Macaca mulatta: one gene and its partners. The main gene of each other region encodes a partner of the protein of the gene in region 3 in a complex. Links are inferred from orthologs where the notes say so. Each region holds a gene or a part of one and is shown on either strand. Other genes may lie near its edges. The genes, in order: VIP, guanine nucleotide-binding protein G(s) subunit alpha isoforms XLas and VIPR1.

The links.
Region 1: the proteins of VIPR1 (region 3) and VIP are in contact, whole or in part, in a cryo-EM structure (PDB 8E3Z), measured with the Homo sapiens proteins. The link is inferred for Macaca mulatta from reciprocal best matches to the Homo sapiens genes VIPR1 and VIP. Residues at the interface, in NP_004615.2 of Homo sapiens: Glu36, Cys37, Val40, Ile43, Asn69, Phe90, Leu92, Phe93, Tyr118, Ile120, Asp125, Asp126, Asp132, Gln135, Thr136, Tyr139, Val142, Lys143, Tyr146, Tyr150, Arg188, Lys195, Phe200, Ser202, Glu204, Ser205, Gln207, Cys208, Met219, Phe222; in NP_003372.1 of Homo sapiens: His125, Ser126, Asp127, Ala128, Val129, Phe130, Thr131, Asp132, Asn133, Tyr134, Thr135, Arg136, Leu137, Arg138, Lys139, Gln140, Met141, Ala142, Val143, Lys144, Lys145, Tyr146, Leu147, Asn148, Ile150, Leu151, Asn152.
Region 2: the proteins of VIPR1 (region 3) and guanine nucleotide-binding protein G(s) subunit alpha isoforms XLas are in contact, whole or in part, in a cryo-EM structure (PDB 8E3Z), measured with the Homo sapiens proteins. The link is inferred for Macaca mulatta from reciprocal best matches to the Homo sapiens genes VIPR1 and GNAS. Residues at the interface, in NP_004615.2 of Homo sapiens: Arg174, His178, Tyr239, Leu240, Leu243, Leu244, Ala245, Val246, Ser247, Phe248, Arg252, Leu319, Lys322, Leu323, Pro326, Asp327, Ile328, Arg329, Lys330, Ser342, Leu345, Leu346, Leu391, Asn392, Gly393; in NP_000507.1 of Homo sapiens: Gln35, His41, Val217, Phe219, Asp323, Arg342, Asp343, Leu346, Tyr358, Pro361, Phe376, Cys379, Arg380, Asp381, Ile383, Gln384, Arg385, His387, Leu388, Gln390, Tyr391, Glu392, Leu393, Leu394.

The regions. Positions count from the first base shown.
Region 1 is NC_133409.1:71,481,858-71,492,484, reverse strand, and holds the start of VIP (vasoactive intestinal peptide precursor), read right to left. Parts: upstream 6,988-10,627; 5' UTR 6,823-6,987; intron 5,610-6,822; 5' UTR 5,600-5,609; coding exon 5,493-5,599; intron 3,614-5,492; coding exon 3,491-3,613; intron 2,518-3,490; coding exon 2,413-2,517; intron 1,659-2,412; coding exon 1,527-1,658; intron 701-1,526; coding exon 655-700; 3' UTR 612-654; intron 1-611. UniProt on the Homo sapiens protein: PHM-27 and PHV-42 are two bioactive forms from proteolysis of the same precursor protein, that cause vasodilation. PHM-27 is a potent agonist of the calcitonin receptor CALCR, with similar efficacy as calcitonin.
Region 2 is NC_133415.1:111,638,912-111,649,448, forward strand, and holds the start of guanine nucleotide-binding protein G(s) subunit alpha isoforms XLas, read left to right. Parts: upstream 1-4,986; 5' UTR 4,987-5,001; coding exon 5,002-7,132; intron 7,133-10,537. UniProt on the Homo sapiens protein: Guanine nucleotide-binding proteins (G proteins) function as transducers in numerous signaling pathways controlled by G protein-coupled receptors (GPCRs).
Region 3 is NC_133407.1:105,859,895-105,869,801, reverse strand, and holds part of VIPR1 (vasoactive intestinal polypeptide receptor 1 precursor), read right to left. Parts: intron 9,733-9,907; coding exon 9,627-9,732; intron 4,267-9,626; coding exon 4,159-4,266; intron 1-4,158. UniProt on the Homo sapiens protein: G protein-coupled receptor activated by the neuropeptides vasoactive intestinal peptide (VIP) and pituitary adenylate cyclase-activating polypeptide (ADCYAP1/PACAP).

The DNA of each region.
Region 1 (10,627 bases), on a different chromosome or scaffold from region 3:
CTGCTAAAAAAAAATGTTTACAGAGAATGCTATTGGAGTCATGTAGGTAAAACAAACTTACAGGTAAAACAAGCTGAATTTTACTTTTGCTGTAAGAAGTCTGCCATGTTTCAAGGAATATAGTTAGACCCAGAATGCCCTGATATTTTCATGATAATGGGCCATGCTCTAATTTGGTGGTATTTCCCTGTACTTACTTAAGTGAGGTGCTAACAGTCAATTGTGGGACTAAACCTTCAATTAATAAAAGCAGCATGGGTTGATCCTCAAAAGGAAAGCCCATTTTTTCTTGTCAGTCTGAGTCAGTCTCCTCTGTTTTTTTTATCTTGATACAAATGTAGAAATAACCCCAGGTGAACCAGGAACACTATTCAGATCTCAAAACGTTTGCTTATTGTGAGTGTGCTCTTTTATGAGATCAAAAAATTGCATGAATCATTCTAAGCTGTTTACTGGGTTGGGGTCCACTGTTGTAGGAGTGTCTGTCTTGGATGAGGTCTCATGATGAGAAACTCTTTAACCCTAAGACGTTTCTTACTAAGCGACTCTTAGCTACTTATATAATCAGAGACTGCCGTAAGAATACAGAAGGAATGCACAAATATACCCACCACTGGGAAGTTGTCATCAGCTTTGCTCCAAAGGGCTTTTTCATCATTTTTCTAGCACTTCTGGAAAGTCAGGGGATTCTCCCTCACTGCTGCAGAGCAGAAAAACATTGTGCATATTAAGGCTCTCAGATGAGAAAGGTTCTAAAGAAACTATTTTGACATAATGGCTGTGCTGTTCTCTGTGCTCTGAAAGTGTATTGGGGGCTAAACAATTACCTTTGAAGTTTGTTAGTACCTATGAATTATTTATCCATCTTAAGAGTTTCTAAAATTATTCTTACAGAATTATCATCTGTAATGGGCAAAGAAAGTCATCTTGTCTGATCACACCCAAACAGAATTATCCTTAATACTCATCATTTAAACAAAAACAATTGGAATAAAAAGACAGAACACTACACTGTTTATGTATTGTGTCCGATGTTTACACACCACAGAGAGATACCGATTTTACAGAATCTAAATATACAAAATACCTAATGGTTTAATTTGATTAAATAAGAGTATTGAATATGCACATGAAGTGAGTTTCACATGTTACCAAATTGCAATTGACTATGCTTTACATGTTTTAAAAATCATCACTTTTGATGAAACTTGCTCCTAGATTCAGACTAGATGTCTCTATAGTCATCATTTTTAACACTGGCAGCACAGTAACGTCAACTGGGGAACTCTTAAAAGAAATGAATGCCTAGGGCCACACCACGGAGGACACTGATTTCCTGGCAATTGGTTTGGGGAAAGGCCCAGACATCGGTATTTTTAAAGTTCTGCAGGGTAGTCTAATGTCAGCCAAGGTTGAGAATCACTGCTTCATGTGGTATAGATAGTGAGATAGAGAGGTCTTCATGTGCAGCTTCTATTTTGAAAGTCAGTCATGATTTCTCATTTTAGCAAGTTCTTTTTCTTTACCTCCTCTTTCCATTCAGAATTGAGTTCAAATATTTCTTTACAGCCATTTGTTTTCTAAGGCGGGTATAGTTGTCTGTGAAGACTGCATCTGAGTGACGTTTGACTGGCACAGGGTCTTCTGAGATGTTGCTGCTAAGGAACATGAGGAAAAGGAAATCAAAGAGTTTTCACAAGAAATGATAAATACACACATGTTCCAAGTTTTTTGGAGCCACATAAAAAGGAATTCCCACGGCCAACTAATTTTCTATCATAAAAAGACTGAAAGAAAAATACAACTGAACCTAAGGATGAAGGCGAAGCAAGGAATCATCTGTCATATTTTGGCACGACCTGGGAATGTTTTATGACACATTCTGTACAGCTGAGCAAAAAATTCATCCAAAAATAAAAATTTGGGGATAGCTGAAGTTGTGCTCTGCCACTGGGAGAAAACCTTTTTAAAAAAACATAGTTACTTCTTTAGAAGCTATGCTACCCTGAGCAACGTCATCTAAATATTTGACTGTTAACCATTTGGCATTCTCCATTTAGTTTGAGCAGGAAGTAAAAGGAATATTCTATGGTTGACCTTAACATTTACCTCAGTCTATTCTATGTCTTCTTGATTGTTTTACTGAGTCTTGTTCAATTTGATTGCAGATTGGTAAACGATTGCTACTTGAGAAAAACGTGTGTCTGGAGTCAATGAGTACGATATTATGAAAAAGTCTTAATCCATGGGCTTGATAGATATTATTGAACAATACAAGTTATTTCATTTAACTAAATTAAACATTATCAATGAGTTTTCAATTTCAAACAAGGTAAATAGCTTGTTAAGAGTGAAAATACAATATTCAGGTTGAATAAGAACACATTTTATAAAAATAATAAGTTTCTTTACCTAACACGTTTTCCCATAAGAGACTCAAGGTACTTTTTGGCAGAAAGTTGACCCAAGAGTTTACTGAAGTCACTGGTGAAAACTCCATCAGCATGCCTGGCATTTCTAAAACAAGGAAGAAAAAAATAGCTATTATTTTGTAAATGGCTTTCTAGAATATTATTGTGGCTCATTAAATAACAAAAAATTATGGGTTTATTATGAAAGCTTCTCATTAAAACTAAAGTTCAAAAGGAGATTTCTTAACTCCCTAACAAAAGAGATCTAGTCACTTATATCAAGATATACCCTGTATTTCTAGCCCAAGACACTGAAAAATTAAAGAAACAGGCATTTCTAGAAGCACATTTCAATATTCCTTCATGGTTGAATCTTTATAACTACTTTTTTCTAAGAAATATTGGTGTAAAAATATGATCTATTTAAATAGGCTGCTATTTGTACATGGTGCTTTGTGTCTGCCCCACTGAATAAAGACATACACAATGGGAAAATATTCTGATTTTGGAAAGTTCATAAACCCCAGTATAGCTTTTTTTTTTCTTTTTCCAAAATACTTGGAAACAATACCTCTTAAGATAGAGAAGGCATTAAAGCCTATCATTCTACCTTTTCTCTTTCAAATGAAGAACCTTTTATACTTTGTCTATACCAAGTCCTGTAGAGCTACTTGGTCTGTACTTGAAATGATGCTCAGACAAGCAGTTCTATCAGCTCTAACTATCAGATACCTTTTCTTTATATAGAGACAAAACTCCTCAGCAACTCTTCATCATTGGAATGCTAAATGCTGGAGTTTTATCAGAATTGGTACAATCTGTAATGTTGTAATTATGTGCAACAGAATGGAAGTGAATGATGTGTTCATCCTGGCTTGTTACAACCTTTCAGTATGAAAATCATGTACAGCTGTAAGAGCTGCAATAAATCAGGATGAATGAAGCCATGACACATGGAAACCTCTAGTGTTTTGCTATTGGAATAGCTTCGTGGTGAGATAAAATTAGCACGTTTGTAATTCTTAAATACATTTGCTAAAATAAAACTCACTGGATAGTTTTATAAAAAATAAACTCACCTGGATACATCATAATAGGGTGTGTCATTTTCAGCTAATGCATTTTGCAAGATGTCCATGTCTTCTTTTAATGAAACTTGATCAGGTTCATTTGCTCCCTCAAAGGGTAGTCTGTCACCCAACCTGATAGGGAAGGTTACACGAGAAGTATAATACATTCCTTTTTCAGAAGACAGTGCGAGCGGTTCCGCAACCATTTAAAATAAGATACTTAAACTCTTGGGAAGTATTACCCAGTCACAATATGAGAATAACATAATTTGACTTAATGGCTCACATAGTTAATGAGAGCATAAATAGGAAATTCCTATTGTCCTACAAAGTAGATGTCATATGACTTTTATAAGCTGAATATACAAAACGTAAGAGCTACTTAATTCAATCTTATCGAAGCATTAAGCAAACTATACTTCTTTGGTGTACTTTACTATGCCAAGAATATCTTCACTTTGCAAAGTCAAATTTCACATGTAGAAAGATTTTATGCAAAATAGAAACTTGGAAAAAACTAATACTGAATGAAAACTGGTAACAATTTATGTATTTGGTGATGTTCAGTATCACCTGTTCCAAACATCTCTGAAGAATGGAATATTAATTGCTTCTCTCTCTCTCTAGACCCTCAAGCTTTGCTTCAAACATTTACCTTGGCATGATATATTTCTCTGTATTGGCAAAATTCAAATAATGTCTCCATAGATGAATAGCTCATCTATGAAGATGAATTTGAATTCAATAAATTTTATGGGACCTTCCGGTTTCTAATCTTATGTATTAACACAACTTTAATAAGGGATGTACAATGTTACACTGAAGGACTAAGAATAGTCATATGCATACATGGAATACGACTATATTTGTAGATGCCTGCATATTTCAATTACTGACAACTCTTATACTTTTGTGTGTACAGATTTTCACTGTTAGGGCAAACCTCCAAGGAGTGTGTCAGCTCCTGGACACTGCGTATCTTTCAGTGATTTGGGAGTTGGGAGTCACTAGCAAGTAGTCCTCTGTGGGTCTGAAGCTTAGCAATCAACAGAAATGTCAGCATTCTTATGATTGTTCATCTGCTGTGATAGAACTTCAGATGAAACCATTTTATTTAGTTATCGAAGCAACACAGGAGCTGTATTTAAACAAATTTCACAGAGAACACTAATAGCTAAGAGGTTATTCTCTCTATTGAGCATAAGTCTACCTTAATCAAAAAATCAAGAATGAGCAAATAAGCAAAAAAAAAAAAAAAAAAACCAACTGAATTATTATTTTTCCTTTGGAGATATAGCGGTGCCCGTAAACCGAAAAGAAAAATTCAAGCTAATGTAGTTTTCATTTACTGTTTACTTCTTTAGCATACATTAAGAAAGTTTTAAATATGAGTTATATTATACTTTCTAGATTTGAAATACATAATATAACATATAGAACAATAAAACTAAGGATTTATGGTTCAAAGTATATCAAAATTTACCCATTGGGGGAGTGTATCTCAATAGATCAATTACCTCATATTTAATATTGGCAAATTGACTCTGCCTAGATAGATTTCTGTGCAACATGATTTTATACATGTTTCACTAATCAACTGCTAATCTTATGATTATTTACTGATTAATCTTGAAAAATAAACTAAAATGTGGTTGGCAACTAAACTGCTTTTTCTCCACCAGAAATTGAACTGACTTAACAATGGATAAAAGCTTATTATTCATCTAAAATTGGTGTTGAATAAAAAGAAAGTCAGAGCCTCCTTTCACCATGTTTGGGAATGTGATCCACTCAGCCCATAAAACTAATCACTGACAGTGTCTCTCATGCCCTGAAAGTGAATTCCAGGATTCAGAATGACCTGACGTTGACCTCTCACTCAACACATCAAGCAAAAATGTAAATTAATAATACATAATTTATACTATTCAGTTGTCCAACAAAACATATAGGAAATTCCCATTTAGATGAAGAAGGAATGCTCAGATGTCTGAATTGAAAGGGAGCTTACCCGAGAGCAGAAGGTGCCCTGTAAAGAGGCCACGCCGACGTCTGTGAGAACAGCACACTGAGAAGGGTCAGAAGCACAAGGAGCTGGGCCTTATTTCTGGTGTCCATTTCTGTGCCTCTAAAGAGAGAATCACCTTAGTTCTTCCAACCACAGATGTCACCAGCAAGGTAATTCTGAGTGCCTAGCAGTAATTTTCAATGGCTCTTGAAGAGTTTGTAAAGAGTAATTTTCCTCTTGTAGAAAGAGATAAATTGCAAGATGATACATTCAAAAATCAATATTTCTCTCAGTGACAGGTACTTGAATAAAAAGTAGAATCCTTTTCACCTGCTGTCTGGGCACATGGTTGGCCCCAGTATCTATTGAATGCCATACTTCTATAGTGCTGGAAATAACCCTGGGGACAATCTTTTCATAACAGGGCTGTACCACCCAGGCTTAGTGTATTTTTTGACGAAGGAAACAGCTTCAAGACATTGATTTTCTTCGCTTTAAGATTTCAGTATCTGATTAATATAAGACTGGGGTATCATCTATTTAATAATTCTTCTGCTCGTGTTTGTACAAATGTATAAATATAATATGTATATATACATATAATTTTTTAAAAGATTTTGGATCTACATTACTTTTTCCTCTTTCAATTGTAGATATTACTGGAAACTTATTTCCTTACACCTGAATTTGAACATCTTAACTCAGTAGTGAATATTAATACTCAAAATATCACTGAATCATATATTGTCACTGAAATGAATTTTTCCATCAAAGGAAAATATATGTTAAAAGCAAAACTTGCATTTCTTGCATTTAATCAACTTACACATTTCATTTCTAGTTTCTAGATTAAAAATTTAGGAGTTCAAGGTCTGTTTCTCTTGCTGCCTATAAAAATTACAAAATTTAAACTTAAGGCAAAAATTAAATGCATCTTAGATTCACCTAACCAACATATGAAATAGGAAAAAAAAAAGCAGTGTAAAAATAAGTTGAAAATTTCAAAAGCAAATGTGCCCACTGAAATTTTCAGTCAAAAATCTACATACAAGTAAACTTGATTTGAATGAATTATTTTTGAAAATCAGTATTCAGTAAAAGAGCAAGCAGAGTAAAGCATCTTACAAACAAAAGAATTCAGAAAATCTATCTATATGAGAGAAATTGAAGTATTTCTATCCTTACCAGGTGACTTGAGAAACTTGTCTTTTTGCTATTGCAAAAGCAGAGCACTATCAAATTCTTTTCAATAGAGAGAAAAATTCAGTATGTTGTAAGAAAAGTTTCAGAGGCAGGAGGGAAAAAGAAGAGGAAAGGTAAAGTTTTCACTTACCTTGCCCACTCGTGCTCCCCAGGAGCTGCCTGTTCTGGTTTGTTTTGGAGCTGTCTTAGGTGCTGAAGTCCTGGGAGTAAGAGGAAGGCTCCACCAGTTCTCTGCCCTTAGCAATGGCTAAGGGTTGGCTGTTACTGCCTGCTGGTGCTTCTCACTCTACCCTGACCAGCATTTCAAAGCCCATCATTTTATAGGGCTTATACTTGGGACTGAGCAATCACAAAGCGCTCTGAAAGACGTCACAGTATGACGGCCATGGGATGAATAGTGCTTGAAGTTCTTACTTAATTGTCATTATGTCTAATTTATATAAGTTTATAGTGAGTAACTTCAAGATGTAAGATAAGAGGAAATTTACTTTTGTTTAAACAAACAAAGTAGCAAGCTCAATGTGAAATGTTTTAACCTTTACTTAATTGTAGTGAAATAAGAAAATGATTGTAGTGTTATAGCCATGGCCACTGGGATTCCTTCAGAAAATAAAGACTTCATGTGTAGAAACAAATGCAGAAAGCAACAAACACTTATGTTCATTATGCTTATAAATGTGTAATTATACTTTATTACCTAATATCAATTCTGTTAATATTTTTAATTTGTATGCTATTCATATAGATCCAGATTTAATCTTTCTTGAAATCTATCCTAACTTTAAAAGCTCTAGAGATAACTTTCACCTTTCTATTATTACATTTCCTTTTTGTTGAAACTAATCCCAAGATAAATGTTTCAGAAAGTCTCTAAGATAGTAAGATATACACGCTGTTGTACAAAGCAGTAGAAGTAGTGCTATTTCATATTTGTATAGAAAGCAGTAGAAGTAGTGCTATTTCGTATTTGTATAAAAAGGCACAATTCCCAATGCACTTTTACATACACTGTGTCAAATGATCCAAAAAATAAATTGTTGTCAGACTATATACCTCAAGGAATTTAATTATCTTTTCTTTTTAAAGGTTTTCCTCATCACTTATATAAGTCTTTGCATAATGTAGAATTAGTTTTCTACCCTCACCCCCAATGCACACACACATACTCAAACCAGTTTGGAACATCTCTGATTCAATCACTTGACAGGTGGCTTCAAATAATTAGTTGAAAAACATTTATGTAGTCCTTTGATAAATACTTCACTGCTATTTGTGGATTTGTAACTAAAGGTAGCTTAGTACGCATTCAATCAGAGTTTAAGGTAAAAAATGCAGCCACATGAAAAATTTCCTAAACAACAGAGTAAAATGTCATTTTTCCTTTTGTGTTAAAGAATTTCTGCCATGTGTATTATTTTTACATTTTGTTTGTAAGTTTCATAAGAAAGAATGACTTTACAGTCCTCTTTCTTCTACTTTAAGATTTTAGTATCTATTTGCTTCATTCAAAGTCAGACTGATCCAGTAAAAGACTATCCTGCTATGCTTAATCATATTTTCTAATCCAGTTACCAGAAAAATTAAATGAATTAAATTTCAAAATGTCTGGAAATTTGTTTCCCAGTTGACAGCTCTGACTTAAGCCAGAGTTCCTGTGGCTTAATTCCAGGAAATCTTTTTTTACCTGATTATTACAAACTAGAGGTTGAAATGGCTCTCATATGGAATTTTTTTATCCTTAGCTCTTCATCACCCAATTCTTAGTGAATCAATTTTATTTAAGAGCAGCAACGGCAAAGCAACTTAATTGAGGGTCACAGACAAATTACTGCTGAATGATAAGAAGAAAAATTTTAAACATAAAAGATGTAAAGCTGATTATTATTTGGCTTAGGCAAGCACTTAGCATTTACAAAGAGTAACTATAGTGGCTTTTTTCAATAGAAAAGACAGTTGCTTCTATTATAATAATAATAAACTAAAATAAAAAGAAATAATTCAATTTTATTACCTCTGAATAAAAGTAAACTTAAAGAACTGCATTTTCTCTTACAAATTTAAACTAGAAAGCAAAACAATTTGAAAATGGAACCATAGCACCATCTGCAGGTTCAAAGTTTTAATTCACAGATTTTATAAAATTGTGTTTATTTTTTTCTTTTCTTTCAAGGAAATGAATTGTAAACCAGAGGTCCTTTAACCGGCTTAACTTATGGATGCTTACAGAAAAAATAAACATAAAAAAAAGTACTGCAGTTGAATTTATCCTGAATTCTCGGTTACCATAAAACTTAGTAAATAAATACAAAAATACAAATGTGAATTTGCTCTTTAAATCTGTCTTTTCCGTACTTTGACATATTCTTCCATAATTTGCCTACATTTCTGGCAACGTTTATTTTTGCCTTACGCCTTCTTAGTAAAGTGGTGTTTGTAATAAGGGGAACTATAATTCATTTGTATGGGTAGAAAAATCTTCAAGATCCTTCTTTTACAGATAAGTAAACTGATCTCCAGAAAGTTTCAGTAATTTTTGCCACTCAGGTGGTTAATAATAAATACGAGACTGGAAGATAGACTGTCTGATTTTGAGTCAGCACTCCTTCAGTTTAGAATTGGTAATATTCTGTAATTGTTACTATCACCATTTTGATGCTAGCAGGTCAGATATGGACATTGACAGCTCATAAAAATATTGGCCTCTCCTCTCCTCTTTTTCACCAACAGAACCAAGAGCAGGGAAATAAAACTGGCATTCTAAATTCAAAGGTAGTGGATGCAAGGGAATTAGATGGAAGGGATTTTTAAGCTCAAGATATTAGCAGAAATCCAAATTTGCCTTTTTTTCTTTAGTGCAATATGCTAATAGAGGGTCCATATTCTTCTTATGGATTAAATGCCTAAGCTTATGCTCTTCTGCCTCTTTGTATGATGGTTTTATCTGCCTAATTTCCCCTGTTTCACCTCCAGTCCTGAGACCTAGCCAGTGTCTACCATGGTAATCCTGAGTGGGTGAGTCTAGATCAGAGGTCTGGAAACTACAGGCTGTGAGCTAAATAGACTGACCCCTCTGGGTTTTGTTTGTTTGTTTCTTCATTAATTTGTTTTTGTTTGTTTATGTCTTTCAAGCTAAGAAGGGTGTTTATATTTTTAAATGGTTAAAAAAATTAAATGAACTTTTTGTGACACATGACAATTATATTTTATTATTTTATTTTATTTTGAGATGGAGTCTCATGTACTCTGCCATCCAGGCTAGAGTACAGCAGTGCAATCTTGGTGCACTGCAACCTCTGCCTCCTGGATTCAAGCGATTCTTGTGCCTCAGCCCCCAGAGTAGCTGGGATCACTGGTGCGCACCATGTTGGCCAAGTTTTGGTCTGGAACTCCTGAGCTCAAGTGATCTGCCCGCCTCAGACTCCCAAAGTGCTGGGATTACAGGTGTGAGCCACCTTACCTGGCCAAAACTTATATATAATTTAAACATCAGTGTCCACAAATAAAGTTTTATTGGAACATAAAACATTTCATCATATATGTATTCTCTATAGTTGCTTTTGTGCTACAACGGCAAGGTTGGATAGTTGCAACAAACTGCACAGCTCTCAAAGGTTAAAATAAGTACTATTTGGTCTTTCACAAAAAACGTTTTTCAATCCTCTAGATCCTCCTCTTTGGTAGATATTTAAGATGACATGTTTGCTTTAATATTCTTAAATCCAGTATCTTTCAATAACTTGTATTAGGAAATACACATTAGTGTATATATATTTTATATACCTAATGTATAATGTATTATGTGCTGTATATATGTATATATACATAAATAAATATATCCTATACAATATATTATACATGTATGTATGTATAACATACAGAATGTATACATACATTTAATATACATGTATACTTTTACTAAAAGTATACATTTGCAT
Region 2 (10,537 bases), on a different chromosome or scaffold from region 3:
ATCTCACTGCAGCCCTGCACTCCAGCACACAGCCCCTCAGGACAGGGGTCAGGACCCTGGCACACAGCTTCTATCTATCCCAACTCGGCCTTTTTTTCAGGCACCAGCCTCTCCTGACTTCCTCTTCCTTAGCTGCATGAACACATTAATAGACTTTCCTTCCTCAGTCCTATCACATATTCATCTTTTCCCACGATGGCAATCCATCCAGCATTGGAAAGCTATGTTTAAGGTACTTTGCTATTACACAATTATAATGGCAGATCCTAAAAACGTCCCTGGCAAGGTTAGGCCCCAGATGACGCTGCCCACTAACATCCAGCACTGGCCATCTCCATCCAGATCAAGGTCTTGTTTCTCTCTTGAGTTAGCAAAATTATCAGCCCTCAGGAAGATCACCAGACAAGCCAACCAATCAGGCCAATCAAGGTGGACCCAGTAAACCCACTAGCTGATCACCCCCAGCTCTTACTATACCAGATTCCTCAGGTCCCTGTGGCCTTTCAGGTGCCACAGGTGGGTCAACTCCTCGAATATTTGGCCACATTTCTGGGGTCCCTGACCCCACTACTGATGTTTCAACTCCTAGCTCCACTCACCTAAAGGACTTAGGTTTTTCAGAGACTGGTAGCCAGTCACTACAGAGAAACAACAAGAGTGGGAAAATGGGGGAATATCAGGGTTAAATACTGGGATTTATCCTTCCTAGTCTTAATTTACCTTTAGATTAAGGCAATTCCTATTCAAATCTAAGGGTCCTTTCTCAGCTTATAGTGGTGATTTTCAACTGGGGGAGATTTTGCCCCCCAGAGGACATTTGGCAAAGTCTGGAGACATTTTTGGTTGTTAAAACTAAGGGGATGCTACTGGCATCTAGTGGGTAGAGGCTAGGGATGCTGCTCAACATCCTACAATGAACAGGGCAGTCACCACAACAAAGAATTGCCTGGCCCCGAATACCACTAGTGCAGAGGCTAAAACACCAAGTCTAGATAAAATGTGCTGAGTGGTTCTGAAACCCCTTCCTCTGGTGTGCTCCCATCTCTCCCTTCTGAGTCCTCCCTGCTCACTCCTGGACTGTATCCCTTTTTCCTGTCCACTGCACCAATTGTTCAAGATTCTGTTACCAAATGTATTTCTCCCCTAAAGAATTTTCTGACTCCATGAATTCATCTTTGTAAGGACGATTGCCAATTTGAATGTGTGATCTTTATCTTTTTCTAAATTTCAGACCTTCCCTCCCTAAATTTCAGATTTCCCTGCAAAAATCTCTATCCCAACTGCTCAAAGTTCCTTTAACTCTGCCATGTCTAAAACCAAATCAGCACTGCCACCTTGCCAGTCCCTCCCACTGACTTCCCTGTCCAACTCCCAGTGTTTCATCCATCTGGGTGACACACTTTGGCTCCTCCATTTTTTGTGTCTTTCTAGCAATAAGAGGTGCTCCAGGAGGATCCTTTGGGACCCCTCTTGAGTGTTATCCTTCAGCATTCCTGCTTCCTTCACCGTGCTAGGTCTCTCCTTTAAACATCTCCTTTGTGCATAACCCCTTTCCTTTGTTCTCTCTCCATCAGGATCATCCTCCATGCTGCTTCTGCCTTTCCTAAAAGTAGGCTCAAATCCTCACTTGCAGAACAAAAAACTTTCAATATCCTTTCTGTTTCCTGCCAAAATAGCCTTAAAGTGCTTGCTCTCATACTCCATGCCATCCTCAGAGAGATTCTATCTAATTTCTCCTGACTTTTCTCCCCCTGCTCCTGAAGAGCCAGCCAAGGTGGCCAGTTGTGTTTACCCAGCCACGCCCCATGTTTCTTACCATTATTTCCTTTGTTCGTGGTGGGCAAACTGTCTCCCATCCCCCACTACTACCTTCTATTCATAGCCAAGGCGTCTATCCTTCCTTGGAGGCCCATATAAAAAGCCATTTTCTCCACCAAGACTTTCAAGGTCCCCCCAAGTGGAAGTCTTTTCTTTCATTTTTATGCTGCTCTACTCCCTAGGATGAGGAATTGGTATTTGCCTAACCTTTTTTTTTTAATCACCTCGATGCATGTGCTCCCCTGGCAAAGAATCATAAGACCAGAAAGAATGAACAAAGGGGTCCCACAGACCCATGAGGGTGTCGAACAGAGACCCTGAACCCGTTCCTCGACAAATGGTGCTTTGGGGGTGAGCGCGAGGCCTGACGAGAGCAAACCACCCCTTCGGAGCACCCATCGCATTCTCCCTGGGGCTTCAACCCCAATGTCTACTGACCTTCCACTTGTGCAGGCTCAGCATCCCTGGGGCCTCAACTCCTTAGCCATCCTGGGCTGCTGCTCGCAGTAAGCCCTCTCCTTGTAGTCCTGGCCCTCTACCTCCCAGCCCTGGAAATCTTCTTGCTCCGTGCCTCTCCCGGCAGCGGCACCCCGTTGGCTAGGTTAGCCTGCCGCCATCAACGCACCCAAAGGTTGGCCCCTGGGACCCCACCTCTCCCCCGAGGCTCGGCAACCTGTGGCATGAGGAAGGGTGACCCCACGGCGCTAGCGGTCCTCGTGGTCTTCCAGGCCTAGCCGCCATACACCCTCCCCCCAACGACTTCCAACCACCCCAGCAGCACAACCTCTTCGGGCGTTCCAACGCGGCGCCCCCTATTGGACCTCCCACCCATATCCGGTTTCCGGTCTGACGCCCCCTGCTCATTCGCCAGGCAGCCGTGATTGGCATGACCCCAGCCCAATGGCTGACCCGGCACTGGGGTCGTAGGGGAGTGAGTTGGTGCTGGGACCCAGTTGGGCGGCGGTTCAGTGGATGCCCAAGTGGCTAAGCCGTTTTGTGTGGAGTTAGTTGGCCAAAGTTGGAATCAAAGTTCAGTGTTGACAGCTGGAAGTGTGTAGACCCATAGAGCTAAAGCGACATATCTTTGGGGGATCCCAAACGTTTACCGGGGTCCTACTGTGTTCGCCTCTTTCCATGCTGCGTGGCCACGTGGATGGTGGAAGCAGGGTGGGGGGGGGGAGGATGCGCGGTGCCTGTGGTACCCTGGCTCTAAGAGGGATGCGTTAGACTAGACGGTATCGCACCGTGCAGTGGTTCGCCCGCCTGCAGCTCCCATACAGCAGCCCGTGCTGTGCGCCCTGCTTGCTGCAGCCCGCCCTGTGTAACGCTCATCCAGCCTCTCCTCCCGCAGGACTCTGCAGGTCAGGTGACCCCCTGCCTCCTGCCCAGCTGCTCTGTGCCTAGACGTGGTTCACCAATCTGTCTTACTGGTGAGACCGACCTGATGCGCACCTGCCGGGTTTTACGTGACCCCCTAACAGCAGCTTTTCTCCCGGGCTCAAATCCCTCTGCAGACCCCAGACCAGAGCATAGCATGTGCACACACCAAGGTCACCAGGTGGTTTGGGTATTTACCTTTGGCTAGCTCTGAGCCCACCGCAGCATGGTAGCGGGAGCGCAGCTGCGCGGGCAACCGCCGGGTTTGTGGCCGGTTGGCGGGCTCAGTGCCGCCTCAGTAGGCTCTAGCAGTGGAAAACTAAAGCGACTACCCTAAGATACCCATAGCGAGAGGAGAGGGGCTGGAAGGGTGCTGGAGACAGGCTGTAGTGGGGCTAAAGGAGCAGACTGACCGGTGCTGCGGCCGGCACCCGAAGCAGCGAGCAGCGCACCTCAGCTGCGGTTGCCGCGCGGCATGGTGTTTATCTGTGGGTTCAGTGCCCACAGCGTTGTCCACTCTCGAAATCACCCTAAACCGGCCATAAACGCCAACCAAAATCCCCTTTAACCCTTCCCTAGAACCGCAGGACCTGCGAAACTCTGCGGCCGCTTTGTGGGGTCCCCCTCTGCGCAGCACACCCCCCACCCCTCCATCGGTGCCACCGCAGCTACTGCCTAGGGGGCTTTGCTCTTGGTGGTACGCACCCGAGACCTTCTTATTCCCCTGCGTCACCATCCACATAAACAAGGGAGCACCCTGCTTGCGCTGCGTGGGCCACTGCGGAGACCCCTAGAGTGTGATGAGGGTGGGGGCTGTTAAAGTGCTTTACCGGAGCCAACCTCAGCAAGCAACAAACAAAAGCAGTAAAAAGTACACCCAAGGCATTTAAAAAACAAATTGTGTGCTCGCATACTCGGCATCCCCTCTCCCTCGTCTCTCTCTGCTTCTCTGGTGGGCTCACGACCACCTGTCGCATCCCCACGCATGCCTGTGCCCCTTCTCAGGCACCAAAAGCCTTGCGCTCTGGACTAGGGGCTTGAGATCCGGAGCTGCCTGGAGGCTGGGGGCTATGACTCAGTGTTTCAGGGGTATCCTGGGGTGATGAAACCCTTCTTCAGTCCCCCCTCCCCCGAGGAGTCGGTTGGGTTGGGGAGGGAGGGTTTCAGCTCCTGTACTCCAGCGTCCCGAGGCCCACGTCTTGCGTCACGTGTCCCGCAACGCAGGAGAGCTTTCTCTGGCCAGGGGAGAAGCGAGGAGAAAGATTCCAAATCAGTCAGGGAGAGGAGTGGAAGGAGCCAAAACGTCCCTGCGAGGCCTGCGCTCGTCAGCCCCCTTACCCAAAGTCCCGGGCCGCGGCGCGAGGAGCAGGATTCTGGAGCTGGAGCCAGCTCGGCACTGGAACCGGCGTCCTCTGGTGGCAGCGAGAGAGCGCTACTGGCGATTTTCGGACCGAATCGGCACGCTCGTCAGATCCAAGCAGGCGGGACTGGCCTGGAGGAGAAAGAAAGAGAGAGGAGGGCATAAGGACAGACCAAGGAAGAGGGGCTGGGGGGCATACTGAGGGGATAAAAAGTGGCCAGAAAGGAGCCAAGACTCCACCAGCAACAATTGAGTTGCTTCAGCCTCAGTCTAGGGTTCCAGGCCTTGAAGCCCCCCAACCTCACAAGGGTTGGAAAGTGAGGCTGGTGAACTTTCCAGCTGGTACTTTGATTTAAAAATAATAATAATAATTTTTTCACCCTAGTTCGGTTGGGTGCTCCGTCTTACGGAGCCCCAAACTTATTTTGAGAGGCCGCCACCCTGTTATGGGCGTGCGCAACTGCCTCGACGGCAATAATATGTCAGGACAACGCGATATCCCCCCTGAAATCGGGGAACAGCCCGATCAACCATCTTTGGAGGCCCCAGGGGCAGCTGCCCCCGGTGCTGGGCCTAGCCCAGCCGAAGAGATGGAGACCGAACCGCCTCACAACGAGCCCATCCCCATCAAGAATGACAGCGAGGCCTGTGGACCCCCAGAGGTCTCCAGGCCCAACTTTCAGGTCCTCAACCAGGCATTCAGGGAAGCTGGAGCCCATGGAAGCTACAGCCCACCTCCTGAGGAAGCAATGCCCTTCGAGGTCGAACAGCCCAGCTTGGGAGGCTTCTGGCCTACACTGGAGCAGCCTGGATCCCCCAGTGGGGCCCATGCAGGCCTTGAGGCCTTCGGCCCAGCATTCATGGAACCTGGAGCCTTCAGTGGTGCCAGACCAGGCCTGGGAGGATACAGCCCTCCACCAGAAGAAGCTATGCCCTTTGAGTTTGACCAGCCTGCCAAGACAGGCTGCAGTCAACCTCTCTTACAGGTCCCAGACCTTGCTCCAGGAGGCCCAGGTGCTGCAGGGGTCCCCGGAGCTCCTCCCGAGGAGCCCCAAGCCCTCAGGCCTCCAAAGACTGGCTCCAGAGGAGGCTACAGCCCTCCCCCTGAGGAGACTATGCCATTTGAGCTTGATGGAGAAGGATCTGGGGACGACAGCCCACCCCCGGGGCTTTCCCGAGTTATCGCACAAGTTGACCGCGGTGGCCAGTTCGCGGCAGTCGCGGCCTCGAGTGCGGTCCGCCTCACTCCCGCCGCGAACGCGCCTCCCCTCTGGGTCCCAGGCGCCATCGGCAGCCCATCCCGAGAGGCTGTCAGACCTCCTCCTAACTTCACGGGCAGCGGCCCCCCGATGGAGATCTCCGGACCCCCGCTCGAGATTGGCAGCGCCCCCGCTGGGGTCGACGACGCTCCCGTCAACATGGACAGCCCCCCAATCGCGCTTGACGGCCCGCCCATCGAGGTCTCCGGAGCCCCAGATAAGAGAGAGCGAGCAGAGAGACCCCCAGTTGAGGAGGAAGCAGCAGAGATGGAAGGAAGCACAGCCGCTGATGCCGCGGAGGGAGGAAAAGTCCCCTCTCCGGGGTACGGATCCCCTGCCGCCGGGGCAGCTTCAACGGATACCGCCACCGGGGCAGCCCGTGCAGCCCCAGCGGATCCCGACTCCGGGGCAGCCCCAGAAGATCCCGACTCCGGGGCAGCCCCTGCCGCCCCGGCCGATCCCGACTCCGGGGCGGCCCCTGACGCCCCGGCCGATCCCGACTCCGGGGCGGCCCCTGACGCCCCGGCCGATCCCGACTCCGGGGCGGCCCCTGACGCCCCGGCCGATCCCGACTCCGGGGCGGCCCCTGACGCCCCAGCGGTTCCAGATGCCGGGGCAGCCCCTGACGCCCCAGCCGATCCAGATGCCGGGGCAGCCCCTGAGGTTCCCGCGGCCCCTGCGGCTGCTGAGACCCGGGCAGCCCATGTCGCCCCAGCTGCGCCTGACGCCGGGGCTCCCACTGCCCCAGCCGCTTCTGCCACCCGGGCAGCCCAAGCCGCCCGGGCGGCCTCGGCAGCCCCTGCCTCCGGGGCCAGACGCAAGCTCCATCACCTTAGACCCCCCAGCCCCGAGATCCAGGCTGCCGATCCGCCTACTCCGCGGCCTGCTCGCGCGTCTGCCTGGCGGGGCAAGTCCGAGCGCAGCTGCGGCCGCCGCGTGTACTACGATGAAGGGGCGGCCAGCAGCGACGATGACTCCAGCGGAGACGAGTCCGACGATGGGACCTTCGGATGCATCCGCTGGTTTCAGCATCGGCGAAATCGCCGCCGCCGAAAGCCCCAGCGCAACTTACTCCGCAACTTCCTCATGCAAGCCTTCGGGGGCTGCTTCGGTCGATCTGAGAGTCCCCAGCCCAAAGCCTCGCACTCCTCCAAGGTCAAGAAGGTACCCCTGGTGGAGAAGCGCAGACAGATGCGCAAAGAAGCCCTGGAGAAGCGGGCCCAGAAGCGCGCAGAGAAGAAACGCAGCAAGCTCATCGACAAACAACTCCAGGACGAAAAGATGGGCTACATGTGTACGCACCGCCTGCTGCTTCTAGGTAATGCGGCGGACTCTGCCTGCGGGCAGCAGGGCCGCCGGGGAACTGGGTAGGGGGTGGCAGGGCTGCCTGCTGGGGCTCGGGGCTCGACAGTGGGAGGAGGGGATCCAGCCAAAGGCGGGAAGAGCTTGCTAGAAAGTTCCAGGGAGGGACCCTAACTATGCCCTGGGAGCGGGAGGGGATCTTGGGTGGATTCGGGTGGCCGAAGTATATGCCCTCCAGGGAGAAAAGTGATGCCGAGCGACACTGAGGGTCGTTTCCGGCTGGACAGGCCAGCGCCAGCAACCGTAAGCTGGACAGGCAGGGGCTTTCAGGTGAGCCAGGAACTGCCGGGGAGGGCCCCGGGGCTCCCCTGGCTAGGCTGGTGGGGTCCATGGTGGGCTAGGGTCTTTGGGAAAGGCGCGCCCCCGCCTCGCCTGGCACGGCTGCTTGGACTCAGACAGCTTGTCGTTGGTGTGTGTTGGTGTCCATATTCTGTGTTCGCCTGTGCATGATACGCTAAAGTGTCTCCCGTTCCTATCCCGGCACCCCCAAATTACCCGGCGACTGTGTACTTGTACTTGGGAACGGGCTGTCTTGTGGTTTGCGTCATGGCGCGGGCAAAAAACTTTCAGTGTTCGCACACTCTGGTGGTACCTGCGCCCGGGCGCTCTGCGGTGAGCCGTGCGGAGTACGCGCGGGGAAGGTGGCGGGGCCTCCCGGGAAATAAGCGGGGCCCCTGGCCTGGGGGAGCGGGGGATCGCTTTTTGCCGGCCTCCGTAACCTTGTTCCTGTATGTCTTTCTCTCTTTTTCCTTTTGCGCTAAGCGTTTCCTCACTTCTCATTCGTTCGCCAAACCCTCCCGCCTTTACAGTTGAAAAACCAGACATACAGGTATCTGGGGCGCCCGGGGCTGCACACATCAGTGTTCAGTATTCTGCACACACTCAGCTCGCCTGGTCGGGGGATGGGGGAGAGGGGAAACAACCTGCTGTAGGCAAGTCTGAATCCCAAACCACGTGGGGGCTGGTTCCAAGGGGGTGGGCGTGGCTGTGTTTAAAAAATATGAAATAATTTTTTTTCCTAGCGAAGAGCCTGAGGTAAGCCAATTATTTTTACAAAGAGTACAGTAGGAGGGGCTTGGTTTAAAAAGATGGGGATATGTGTTGGGAGTGGAATGTCACCTTTGTGTTTGAAATGCAACTAAAATAAAAATTTTCCAAAAATGCGCTGAGTGTATTTGAAGTGTGTGGACAAAGTATGGCAAAACCGTGAATATGACTTGTGAAACACGTAAATGTTTGCATGTGAATTTTTCCAAGCAGCTTTAGCTGGGGGCAAAGAGGCTTGTCAAAGGTAAGGTCTTCTGCAAATTGGCTCTGGATACAAAAAATATATAAAGGTCTTTTGATTACAGAAGTTAAAAATCATGATATTCTCATCAGGAGGGTATTCTGGTGGCCTTCTACCTTCCCCCTCCTCTGCTCACATTTCCCCACCTCTTGGTGCCCTCCCCTCTCCAGGATCCCCCTCCGCAACCCACAGCAAGACCCTCTCCTGTATTTCCCAGTCTTTCCGTGGCCATTTCCAGTTCCCCACTCCCCCAGCCCCCCAAGACTTCTTAACTTCAAATCTGGGGCATTAACTATTTTTGCCACATTTAATCAAATCAGCAATTAGCAATGGTCTGAATATGTGGTTTAAATGAAAACTTTCAAACGAACTTCACAAGCTTAATTTTTACATTTTATTCTCTAAGACCTTTCAAGGGATTTCAAGATCACAGTTTTTAAGACTGTGCTACATTTGTTAAATATGTTAGAACTTGTGACGGTTTTTTATTAATGGCATTATTGGCATGTAACTATGCTACTGTGATGTGGCTCTCACAAATCACAATTTTAGATGTGAGGATCATTTTGTGTATGCCCATCCAGGTAGATCATAACATTATCATTTACCCAAAAACATATAATATGGTAGTTGTTTTAAATTTCAAATGTCTCAGCTACACTAAAGCTACCACACATTAAATGACAATGCGCTGGTTTCCCTGCAGACATCTGATTTTGCCATAACAGACCCATTTCAATATTCCAAGCACAGCTCAGATTAGTGTTTAAAATTTACCCACATTATTTACCATGGAAAACTGGTTGTAAGCAAAAAGAATTGGAGGTCATCCCCTTTCTGTATATATCCTGGGAAGCAAACCTATAAATTTGGGGTGGGAGGACACAAATAGGTACAGACAGGAGACCCAAGTGACAGTGTGCACCTGACCCCTAATTGTCAAATTGGTAATGTGCCTTACATGCAGGGCTTCAGTTGCCTCCTTTGTGAAATGAAGCTTTCCTAGCAGATCTCCACTAAGGAATGCTTTGCCATGATTTGAGTCTTCTATTCTTCCTGGGGGTGGGGGTGGAGGAGACACAGTCCACTTACATCAGGACTGGAGACTTATACCATAGATTGTGCAGCCATCAATCCTGCAGCAAACTGTCCATGTTTGGGACCAGTCTTAAGAACATTAGAAGTTTCCTTTGTCTCCCCTTATTTTGTCACCAGGAGTAAAAATTAACTTTAACAAAAGGAATATTTGGTAGGGTCACCTTGCACCTTGTCCTGGCTTTGTTCTTGGGTGCTGGTGGCCAAACACCTTTGGATGCACATAGTCCAGAAGATGGGCTGGTAAACCATGAGCCATGTCTAGCATAAGCCTGAAATACAATAGCCAGTGTTAGCTGCTAGCTGAAACTGTACCACTGCAGTTTGTCAAAGCAGGCTACAGTTTTTGACCAGGCTTCCTTTTGCAGAGGTGACGTACCTCCTCTGGACCTGAATTATTGATTAGGGACAGGGAGAGGAGGAAGGATGAGGACTTACTCACAGGTAGGACAAGACTTTTTACTAACTTTCTAGTCCCAACATATAAAACAAGACATCCATCCATACATCCCTACCACTGAAAATGTAGATCAAATGGCTGTCTTTTGATATGGCTGCTAATTTGTGACATGCAGATTCATCTGTTGCTTGAAAAATGTTTGTTTATGTGCTTATCCTTTCTGTTTGTATTGCCTGGACTATTTAATCTCATTACAGGGACTCTTAAGAAATAAGAGAGAGAGAGAGAGAGAGAGAGAGAGAAAGATAGATAGAAATCAATAATACGATTAAAATTCTAAAACATTTAAAGAGTTCTTTTTAAAGAAGCCTTTTTCTTCTTGCTCAACACTATCCACCAATAGACTGTTTCCATGTTTCTGTTACGTTTTAAAATAATTTTGGTGGCTTAAACATTTTTTAAAACTTCATTTAGGTGTGATTTCCTCCTTGTTTAAGAACTGAAGGGGGCTAATAGATCAGAGTTTCTTAGTATCTGCCACATTTATTAAAATTGTGTAGGCAAATGCTATACATAAG
Region 3 (9,907 bases):
GCCAAAATCACCCAGCCTTGAAGCTGGGACACTGGAGCTTTGGGCTGCCTACTCACCAGAGGGACCAGGGCTTGAGGAGGCCAGGCTCAATGACATAGCAAGCATCTGGTATCAAAAATTATGCCAGCAAACCTGGGTGACTCTGGCATGTACACAGCAGCTTCCCATGCCGCTGTATTTGTGTGTGTGTGTGTATGTGTGTGTATAGTGGCAGAGGTGTTAGGGTAAACATTAATGTGTTAAGGCTAGGAATTGGTAGTTTTTATTATCCCACCAAAACATGGGGATCCCAGGGTTAAGAGAGGTTAAGTGATTTGCCCATGGTCACACAGCAAGGGAGCAGCAGGTCTGAGATGCAGACCAAGGTCCGCCTGACTCCAGATCTTTCTGGGCTCCAGCAGTGGACAAAAGGACACTCTGTTTTCTGGAGCCCTGGCTGCCATAGATGGTGAGGGAGAGGAAGGGAGGGGACAATGGGTCATCTTTGGGGCTAGGTGGCCTCTTTGAAGAGCCCTGGGACTGTGGTCAAGGCCTCATAGCAAGCCGCTCTCGAGGAGATCGAAATGGCAGTCACCATGGGATCCCAAGAAGCAGCCAAGAGTCTCCCTCCAGTCTGGGCCTGGAAACCAGCAGGCCCTATATCTGTAGAGGGGGACATGAAGGGCAGGAGGGAGGTAGCAAGGGACTTTAACCCTGTGCTGGGAGGGACACCCCACTGGAGGGGTCAGGGCATGCGACAGTGGGGGCGTCAGGGCATGCCTGGGCCAGGCTGGGCTCCACCATGGGAGGGACACTTGCCAGGTCTGCTTTGAGGCCTGTCACTTGGGCTGGGCCTCACCTAAGCAAGCTCAGGATAGCTGTGACGACCCGAGGGGTGGCGAGGTCCACCTTTCTCCCAGTCTCCTCCCACTCACTATGTCTCAAAAAGCAGTCATGGCCCCCGCTTGTGCCTAGGATCCTCCACTCAGTTTCTGGAGCCAGGAATTGAGGAATGATCCTCTCCCCCCTCTCCCCCATCAGTCACCAGCCCTTTCCCAGCTGCTTCTTCCCCAGCACCACCACCACCTCATCTCCCCCGGATTAAGTAGGAGCCCCCTGCTTTCCTGTCAGCTCCACAGCCTGAGACAGCTGGAAGGATCATGCTAACACCCAGACCTGACTGTGGAACTCTCCTGATTCCCTGCCATGGAACTCTCCTGATTCCCTGCCATAGTGCCCCATCCCCGTCAGCAAGGATGAGCTTCCTAGGCTGGCAGCAATGTTTTCTTATTTATAGCATCATGATGCAGGTGGTGAGGGAAGGGAGGTATCCCATAGACCCCACAGACATGGTTAACATAGACTGTACATCGAATTTTCTCAGCCAGAATGGCTCTCCCATATTTATTTTTTAAAATATCTCTTCAAATATTTGAAGGTAGAGGCCAGGCATGGTGGTTCATGCTTATAATCCTAGCACTTTGGGAGGCTGAGGCGGGAGGATCATGAGGTCAGGAGATCGAGACCTTTGTGGTTAACACGGTGAAACCCCGTCTCTACTAAAAATAGAAAAAATTAGCCAGGCGTGGTGGCAGGTGCCTGTAGTCCCGGCTGCTGGGACGGCTGAGGCAGGAGAATGGCATGAACTCGCGAGGCGGAGGTTGCAGCCAAGATTGTGCCACTGCACTGCAGCCTGGGTGACAGAGCAAGGCCCTATCTCAAAACATCAATATAATAAAATAAAAATAAAGAAGTGAGCCACCGTGAACATTTTGGTGCCTTAATGAGCTATTCCTTGCCTGGCCAAACTCCCTCCTTCAGGTATTTTATCCAGCCTATGTAGATGACTTTTTTCTAACTCTCCACAATTTTTATCTTCTATAAGCTTTCTTTAGCTTTCCCTGTAGAACCAGGTCCCTTCCTGTGGGTATACTTCTTCCCAGGTCTGTATCTAAAAGGGTGTGAGTTGGTGTTGCCATCATCCCTACCCCACACTTGCAAACTTCCCTCTTTGGAATTTCAGGTCGGTTGCCCATACCTTAATCTACTTGCTCAGGAGAACACCGTCTTTTTTCTGTTTTCAGTCCCTAATCGCAGTTTCCTATTTCTCTCCACCATTTTCAGAGACCAGGCCCACAGAGTATGGCTGTGTAAGTTGTTCACTGTACAGGGCACCTGGCTGGTAGGCATATTCTGCTTGCCACTAGGTGGGCTCTAGTGAGAGGTCATCTCTGCCTGAGGAAGGACTGACTTTTTCTTGTCAGTTCAAAGGCACCGTATGGGCCCCATTGATGCCGGCAGCCTCAGGGTTAGCTAGATGGTGGGCTGGAGTCCAGGTTCTCAAGGGCAGGAGCTGCCTTGACACATTCCAGCAGGGACAGAAGGAAGAGCCACGGGGAGAAATGCAGTTAGCAGAGTCTCAGGGAGAAAGGCAATTAGCAGGTGCTTCCAGGGATCAGAGAGAAGGCTGGTTTCCAGGCTCAGTGATGGCGTGCACTGTGAAACCTGCCAGAGGAGCTCATTGTTATCTGCCCAGGCACTGGGTGTCCCAGGAGGAGGTGGCCAGGCCAGGTGGGCATTGGCCTGGAATATGGCATGGCTGTGACCTTCCCAGACTCCTCAGGAGGGCTTTAAGGTCTGTCTTTCACCACTGAGATCACAACAGCAGTCACTTGGGGGCAAACCGGCTTACCCCAAAGAGACCCTGGGGTCTACCACCCATCCCCACTTTACAAACAGGGAAACTGGGGTCCAGGGAGGAAAAGGCCACCTGGAGTGAGAGACACATGAGTTCTGTTCGCTCTCTGAATAATTGTCTAGGTTCTGCTCCTCATGAGTCCTCCCCACCCCAGGCCTGCCCCTCCCTCCATGCTCCCCACCCAGTCCTGCTCTTTCTTCCCCAAGGCTCATTAAACCTAAGCCTAGGGTGGGGCCTGCTTGATTCCTCCCTGCCTCAGTCACGCCCATTCCCTCCATAAACTCTCCCACTTCTCTCCCGCACTGAGCTCACTACCTGAATTCAATCCATCATCATTTCCTGCCTGCCTTGTGATTGGGTTTTCCTGTTTATACTCTTAGAATCCTTCCTTCTCACAGAAACCAGTTAGAAGTTAAAAACCTAAATTGGACTTTGTCAGTTCCCCGCTTAAAACCCCCCACTTCTCACTGGACTTAGGAAAAAACTCAAGTCTTCGCCTCTGTCCTCAAGGCCCTGTGTGGTCTGGCCTCGGCCCGCCTGTCCCTCCCCTCCCTCCTTCCCCGGCACTCTCCCTGCTCCAGCCACACTGGCCTTCATGGAGCTTCCTTGGATGCTTATTCCACGGGCTGTTGATTCTCTCTCTCAATTGTTCCCAATCTGGGATCTTTGCCTCGTGGCTCTTTCTCACCTCCAGGTCTTCAGATGGCAGCTGAAGTGTCACCTCCTCAGAGAGGGACTGTTTGTGAACCTCTGCCTTAAGTTGGTCCCCACTCTCCTTATTCTCTCGTCCAGCACTTTTTATTATTGATGATACATCTGTTTATTTCCTTACGAAATGTCTCTCCAATGAGAACACTAGCTCTGGAAGAGCAGCCCTGGGGGCTGCTTTATCCTCTCCCCACTGTGTTTGTCCAGCTCAGCGCCTGGCACACGGGTGGGTGCTTCATTCACTGCACAGAAGAATGACTGAATCTATATTGTAAACCTCTTTAATGACTCACTAGCAAGAAAGCCACATCCTAAAGGGGCTCCCCCTTTTCTTTTCTGCCTCATTCTGTGGACATTCTGTGGACATTCATTTAAGTGGAACATGACAAGGTGTATAAGCAAAGTCGTGTAGTGGCTTCATGGAGCCCAAGAGGTCATAGACTCCAGGCATCGAAAGACTGAATCATGACGAGCCCAAGACAACAGGACTATCTATGGGAACCATAATTTAATCAAGTACCTGTCAGTCAATCAGTCATCAATTGTTGAGCAAATATTTAATGAGCCTTTCCCATATGCTTATCTTTATGTGAAGAGCTAATCAAATCCCGTGAGTTCTTTAAAGACCTGGCACCATTGCCTCCTCTGCCAGGGAGTCCCTCGGATTGTTCCAGCCTCTTTGACCACTTTCCTTTGACTTTCCACTTCCTTGAGAGGTGAGTCCCACGGCAGCCAGCACCACTCACATCACCTTTTCAACCCAGGGGTCTTACCTTGAATGGGGGAGAAGAGCTTGAAGATGAGGGGACAGGCCAAGACAACAACCTGGCCCCGAGGGGTGGCTGGCCAGCAGGTGAGGTTGTCCCACATCTTGCTGCAGCCTATGGGGGTAAGGCAGAGGACACGTGGGTCAGCACAGTGCGGGTGCCTCCAGCCCTGGGGCCTGAGGTCATAGGCATCCACTCTCTTCCTCCCTCTGCTGGGCTCCCACCTCAAGGAGCCTCCAGTCTGAGAGGGAAGGCACAGGCTTGCCCAGGCTGCATGGAGCCTGTCCTGACAGGGAGGCAGGGAGGAGGCCTGACTACAGTTCTTTGGTCCTTAGTGAGGGATAGAGCGCCCCCTGGGGATGTTTCCAATGCCAGTGGTGGTTTTGATTGTTACAGCAATAGGGGGGCCTCACTGGCATTTGATGGGCAGCCACCAGGGATGCCAGATAGGCAACTCCTGCACAATGATGAATTGTCTCACATTCTGCATGGCTTCCAGATGAGCCACTGGCCATATGTATAGGTGAAAACCTTTCGTAATGAACAGAGCCTAGACTCTTATACCATTTTACATATAAACACAAGCCATTTACTTTATTATTTATTTACTTATTTTTTGAGACGGAGTCTCACTCTGTCACCCAGGATAGAGTGCAGTGGTGCAACCTTGGCAACCTCTGCCTCCTGGGTTCAAGCAATTCTCCTGCCTCAGCCTCCCGAGTAGCTGGGACTATAGGCCTGTGCCACCACGCCCGGCTAATTTTTGTGTTTTTAGTAGAGACGAGGTTTCACCATGTGTGGCCAGGCTGATCTCCAACTCCTGACCTCAAGTGATCCTCCCACCTTGGCCTCCCAAAGTACTGGGATTACAGGTGTGAGCCACTGTGCCCAGCCAACACAAGCTATTTATTGCACAAGTTTAACATACATGGAGTTTTCCAGGAATGCAGCCACTGAGAAAAGGGAGGGAAGATTGTATTTTGTTTTGTTCTGAACTTCACTAAGAGTTGTTCAATGTTTTGGAAAATCATGACACCCATAGCAGTACTGCCTGTGATACTTGAGTCACTGATGCAACTGCCCGTGTCCATCAGTCTGCATTTGTAGGCCTCGCATTCTCAGGATTTATATTTGTAGGTACAACCTTCAGACTACATCTAGTGTGATTATGCTTGAATATGTACATGATACTTTATTATAAATTACTTTCCTTTTAATATTTATCTTACAGTATAGCTAGAACTTTATTTTTAATAAAGTGGATGGGCGTGTGTCCTGAATTTCATATTATGATAATAAAGGAGGCATTAGAAAATGTTTTGAGACTCTGTCTCAAAAAAAAAAGAACTACATGCACCCCAGTATACTCATCACCCCATCATAGTCTCGCTCTGTTGCCCAGGCTGGAGTGCAGTGGCGCCATCTTGGCTCACTGCAACCTTCACCTCCTGGGTTAAAGTGATCCTCCTGCCTCAGCCTTCTGAGTAGCTGGGATTACAGGCGCCCTCCGCGACACCCGGCTAATTTTTATATTTTTAGTAGAGACGGGGTTCCGTCATGTTGGCCAGGCTGGTCTTGTACTCCTGACCCCAGGTGATTCACACTTGCCTCGCAGCCTCCCAAAGTGCTGGGATTATAGGCGTGAGCCACTGTGCCCAGCCCACACCTAGTTCTTGAACAACACAGATTCCCCCAGTGTGGTCGGATTGTGAATTGTGATGGAGGGGAATAGTTAGGGAACAAATTCAGCAAAAACCCTCCATTGTGGCTGCATTCTCTGCCACAGCTATCAGCCTTGCAGAGCCTGGCCAGTGAAAGATGCACAGTGGGGTCTCCAGGGGTCTGCTTTAATAGGCACATGCAAATGCCATCATTTAGTCTGTTCAGGAGCTGCATGCCCCTGACGGACTAGGACTGCTCTGGACCCGTCCCATGCAGGAGGCTTAATTGTCTCTTTGCAATCCTGCCAGTCCCATAGATTTGCTCAGAAAACCCAACCCCCTGAGCCAAAGTCAACGCCAGCTTGGCCAAGCCCAGCCCAGCCCAGCTCAGATCCGAAGGTTCACAAGTTCTTAAGAAGGGGGTCTGGGAAGAGGAGGTGGAGGGACATCCTTACTTGGGGAAGAGGCTCAGGACTCTGTGTGTTGGAGTGGGCTGGCAGCAGCAAGGGGCACCTTCTGGGGCTGCAGCAGTCAGGCCACACCTATAGCTAAAGCCTGAGGAGGACACCTGGATCCCCAGGGCTTGACCAGAGATTGCAGCCTCCCTTAGTCATGGACCCTGACCACTTTTCCCTGTCTTGAGGGCTCTTGTGGCCTCACGCTGGCTGCCAGTCCCTCTTCCATTCTGGGCCAGCCTCTCTGAAAGCCGAGTAGGGGCACTTCAGGTCAGTCAAACCCTGCTGGGGGTTCCAGACCCTGTTAAGAATATCAGCAAACACTCATATAACCTTTGCATGTGCCAGGCACTGTTCTAACCTCTTTGGATGAATGACTTATTTAACGCTTCCATTTCACAGATGAGGAAACAGAGGCACAGCGTGATTGGACAACCAGCTCAAGGTTATGTTGCTGGTAAGTGGTACAGTATATTCACATGTTCCCACTCCTCTCGGTCGGAAGGGCTGTCATTTCTCTGGGAATTTTGCCGCTGCTGGACTTTGTTTACCCCTCTCTGACAGTGCTGGGCACGCCCTGTTATGCAGACTGGCTATTGTGTCTGGGTGCCTGCCAGACTTTGGGCTCTCTAAACCTCCGGCGGCCAGCACAGGCTGGGGAGTGAATCCGGGGCTGGGTCTCTGGCCTTGAGTTCTGCTTCACTGTGGTGGGACAGAAGAGAGGAAACCAGGCCCTGCCCTTGGGAGGCCACACTTGGCCTCAAGGAATCTTAGCATGACCAAGGCTGGGCTGTGAACTAGTGCTGGGGTGAGGGCAGCCAGCAGGGCAGGGAAGCAGGACGAGAGGCTAATATGAGGGACATGGTTGGGGAAGCAGGGGACGGGGTGACAGCCATGAATATACTTGGTACCTGGAATGGCCTGTTGTCCTGGGCTAGGCAATGGGAATATTTCCTGTGTGCCTGCCCTAATGAGGCCCCGCAGGTCCCATCACACATGTCACCAGGCCTATAGAAATACAGGGCCCAGGCTGGCTGTGTGTGCCCACAGGTGGGGCTGTGCCCCCACCAGGAAAGCCCAACCCAGAGCTTGGGGTAAGGGTTGGTGAGGCAAGGTGAGGTGGGGTCTCTGCTGTGTCATTCTGTAGACTTGTGTGCACACAGAGATACACACACTGATGTGTACATGCCAGTACACAGAACACCAGGCACACATGCAAACATGCACACATGTACACTTACCTGAACACAGGCAACAGACACAAGCAAATGGGCACAGAGAGACACACAACTCACAGAGACATACATTCAGAGAGACAGACATGTCTGGGTGTACCACTGACACTCACACTGATAGACATACAAGCCACACAGAGACACAGCACACTGGGCAGACACACCTAGGCATGTCCACAGATGGCATGTGCCCATGCTTAAATAGACACACACTTCTGACTCACAAAGATACTCAGTCAGACACAGAGCTATAGACCCCAGAGGCAAGACGCAGCTCCAGACAGACATGGGCCAGGAGTACATACCTAGATGTGCATGAACACGCACAGAGCCCTACACAAGGCCACAGGCAGACTCATGGCCACAACCTATGCCCGCCCTTCTCTGCATCCCAGCCTGGCTGCTGGTGACAGGGTGTTGGCACCCAACGGGAACGCTGTGCCAGCAGTGACCTCATCGGAATCACGAGGGTGGCCTACCCCTCGGCATGGGAGGTGCGCAGTGGAGTCTAGAGTCCGGGCCTCTCGGGGCTGCCTATGATCCCACCGTTGGGGCCTGCCAAAGCCTATCTGCACCTGGTCCTGGCTCCCTGCACTGGTGGAGTGGGGTGGGGCCTGTAGGTAGTGGGCAGGCCCAGCCACCCCTGGACCCATGCCTCAGTCTCTGGGCCCTAGAGTCAAGGGGTTGTCCTGCTTTGAGATCAGGGTAGGCAAAGCCCATCTGTGAGGCTACACTTACTCACTGACAGAGCAGGAGGCAGACAGCCTGGACACCAGGGCCAAGAAGAGGGACCTGGAAGGGGTTACATAACTGTCAGCTTTAGAAGGTGGAAGGGGAACTAGGGAGCCAGGAAGATGTAAAGATGCTCCCTGCTCCTGAGCAAGGCTGTTACATAAGTGTAAGCTCAGCCTCAGGGAGATAGCCTGGGATGGAGGCCCAGAATGAGCCCAGCCATCTCACTGCCTCCAGCCCAGACGTGCCAGGCTGCTGTCCCTGGCAGTAAGACTTGAACCTGCCATCCATGCCCCATTCCCCATAGGAAGTCTGCCTCAGTGCCTCCCACCTTTCCAGACTCTCCGTTTCTCCAAACCTGCTCACCCCTCCAAGTCTGGTTCAAGTGGTACCAAATAATTCCACCCATTCTTACCTGGAGCTGCTGAGCCAAAAAGAGGGTGCTGTCATCTGTCCTGATAGCCCTGCTGTCCAGTCTAGGTAGCTGGGCACCACCCTTCACACTGCCAGGTGGAGCTCTCCCAGCCCCCTGAGGAAGAGTGGCTGGGCCTCTGGGGCTGACCTTGACTGGTCTCATCAACCAAATAATGAGCTGATGGTTCATCTGGTCACTAAGGGTGGGTTGGGATGGAGAAGCCAGTGTGTGCACCTGTATGTGTATGCTTAGGGGCTGGGCACGTGTGTATGTGTGTGTATGTGTGTGGCGTCACTATCGGTCCTCTGGGTGTGGCAGAGGCAGAGCCTGGGGTTGAGAGGGAGGAGTGAGCCTAAGTTTCCAGGCTGAGTGTTGGCTGTGGTGAGTATTCCACATCTGTCCAGACAAAACTTATGCCCTTTCTTGCTCTGGACCCCTAAGATGGCTTTGAGCTTCCATGCGGTCCCTGTGGGGGTCACATATTGTGACTGAATGTCCCTCTTCTTCCTTTGAGATGCTAACAGTACAATGTTATAATCCTGGAGTATGGTATTATGGGGCTAGTTCTCCCCATGTCAGCTCCTGGGTGTCCTGGAACCTGCCTACCCTCATTGGTCACAGGTCCCCCACCACGCAGCATGCTGGGCCTTGTGTCCCGGGTGGGCTGGCTGCCATGGAGATCTTCACTTTTCCTGGAGAAGAGGGATAGGGACCCCCAGAGGCAGAGTTGGCTCCATGTACTTTTCAGAACCCCGATTTAGTATGTCCTCCTCAGCTGCAGCTGGGAGCTCCCCAGACCTGGGGTGGGAATGTGGAAGCCTGTTAGCCCCTTTCTTCTTCCATCTGGCTCCCCAGCCGCTCCTCACCATCATCCAACAAATGTGGAACGAACGTGACTTGGATCTCAGCTCGAGACATGAGGAATCGTGGACTCCCTGGGGGCATGCAGCCCCCCCTCTGCCCATGGGAGCCTCACCTGTTGTCTCATTCTCCAGCTGGGCCTCCTCCAGGCACTGCTTGTGCTGCACCTCGATCATCTGCACATAGTCACACTCCTCCTGCAGCCTGGCTGCCTGGCCGCCCTGGGGACAAAGACAGGGAGGGCCCATCAGCCTTGTTCATAGACTCGGGAGCACCAGGCCCAGTCTCTGGATGCACCTGCCCTCTCCCTGGAAGAGATCCAAGTTCCATATGGAACCCCAATACCAACCCCAGACTGAAACCTGAACCTGACTCCAACCTGTTGTCCATTGCCCC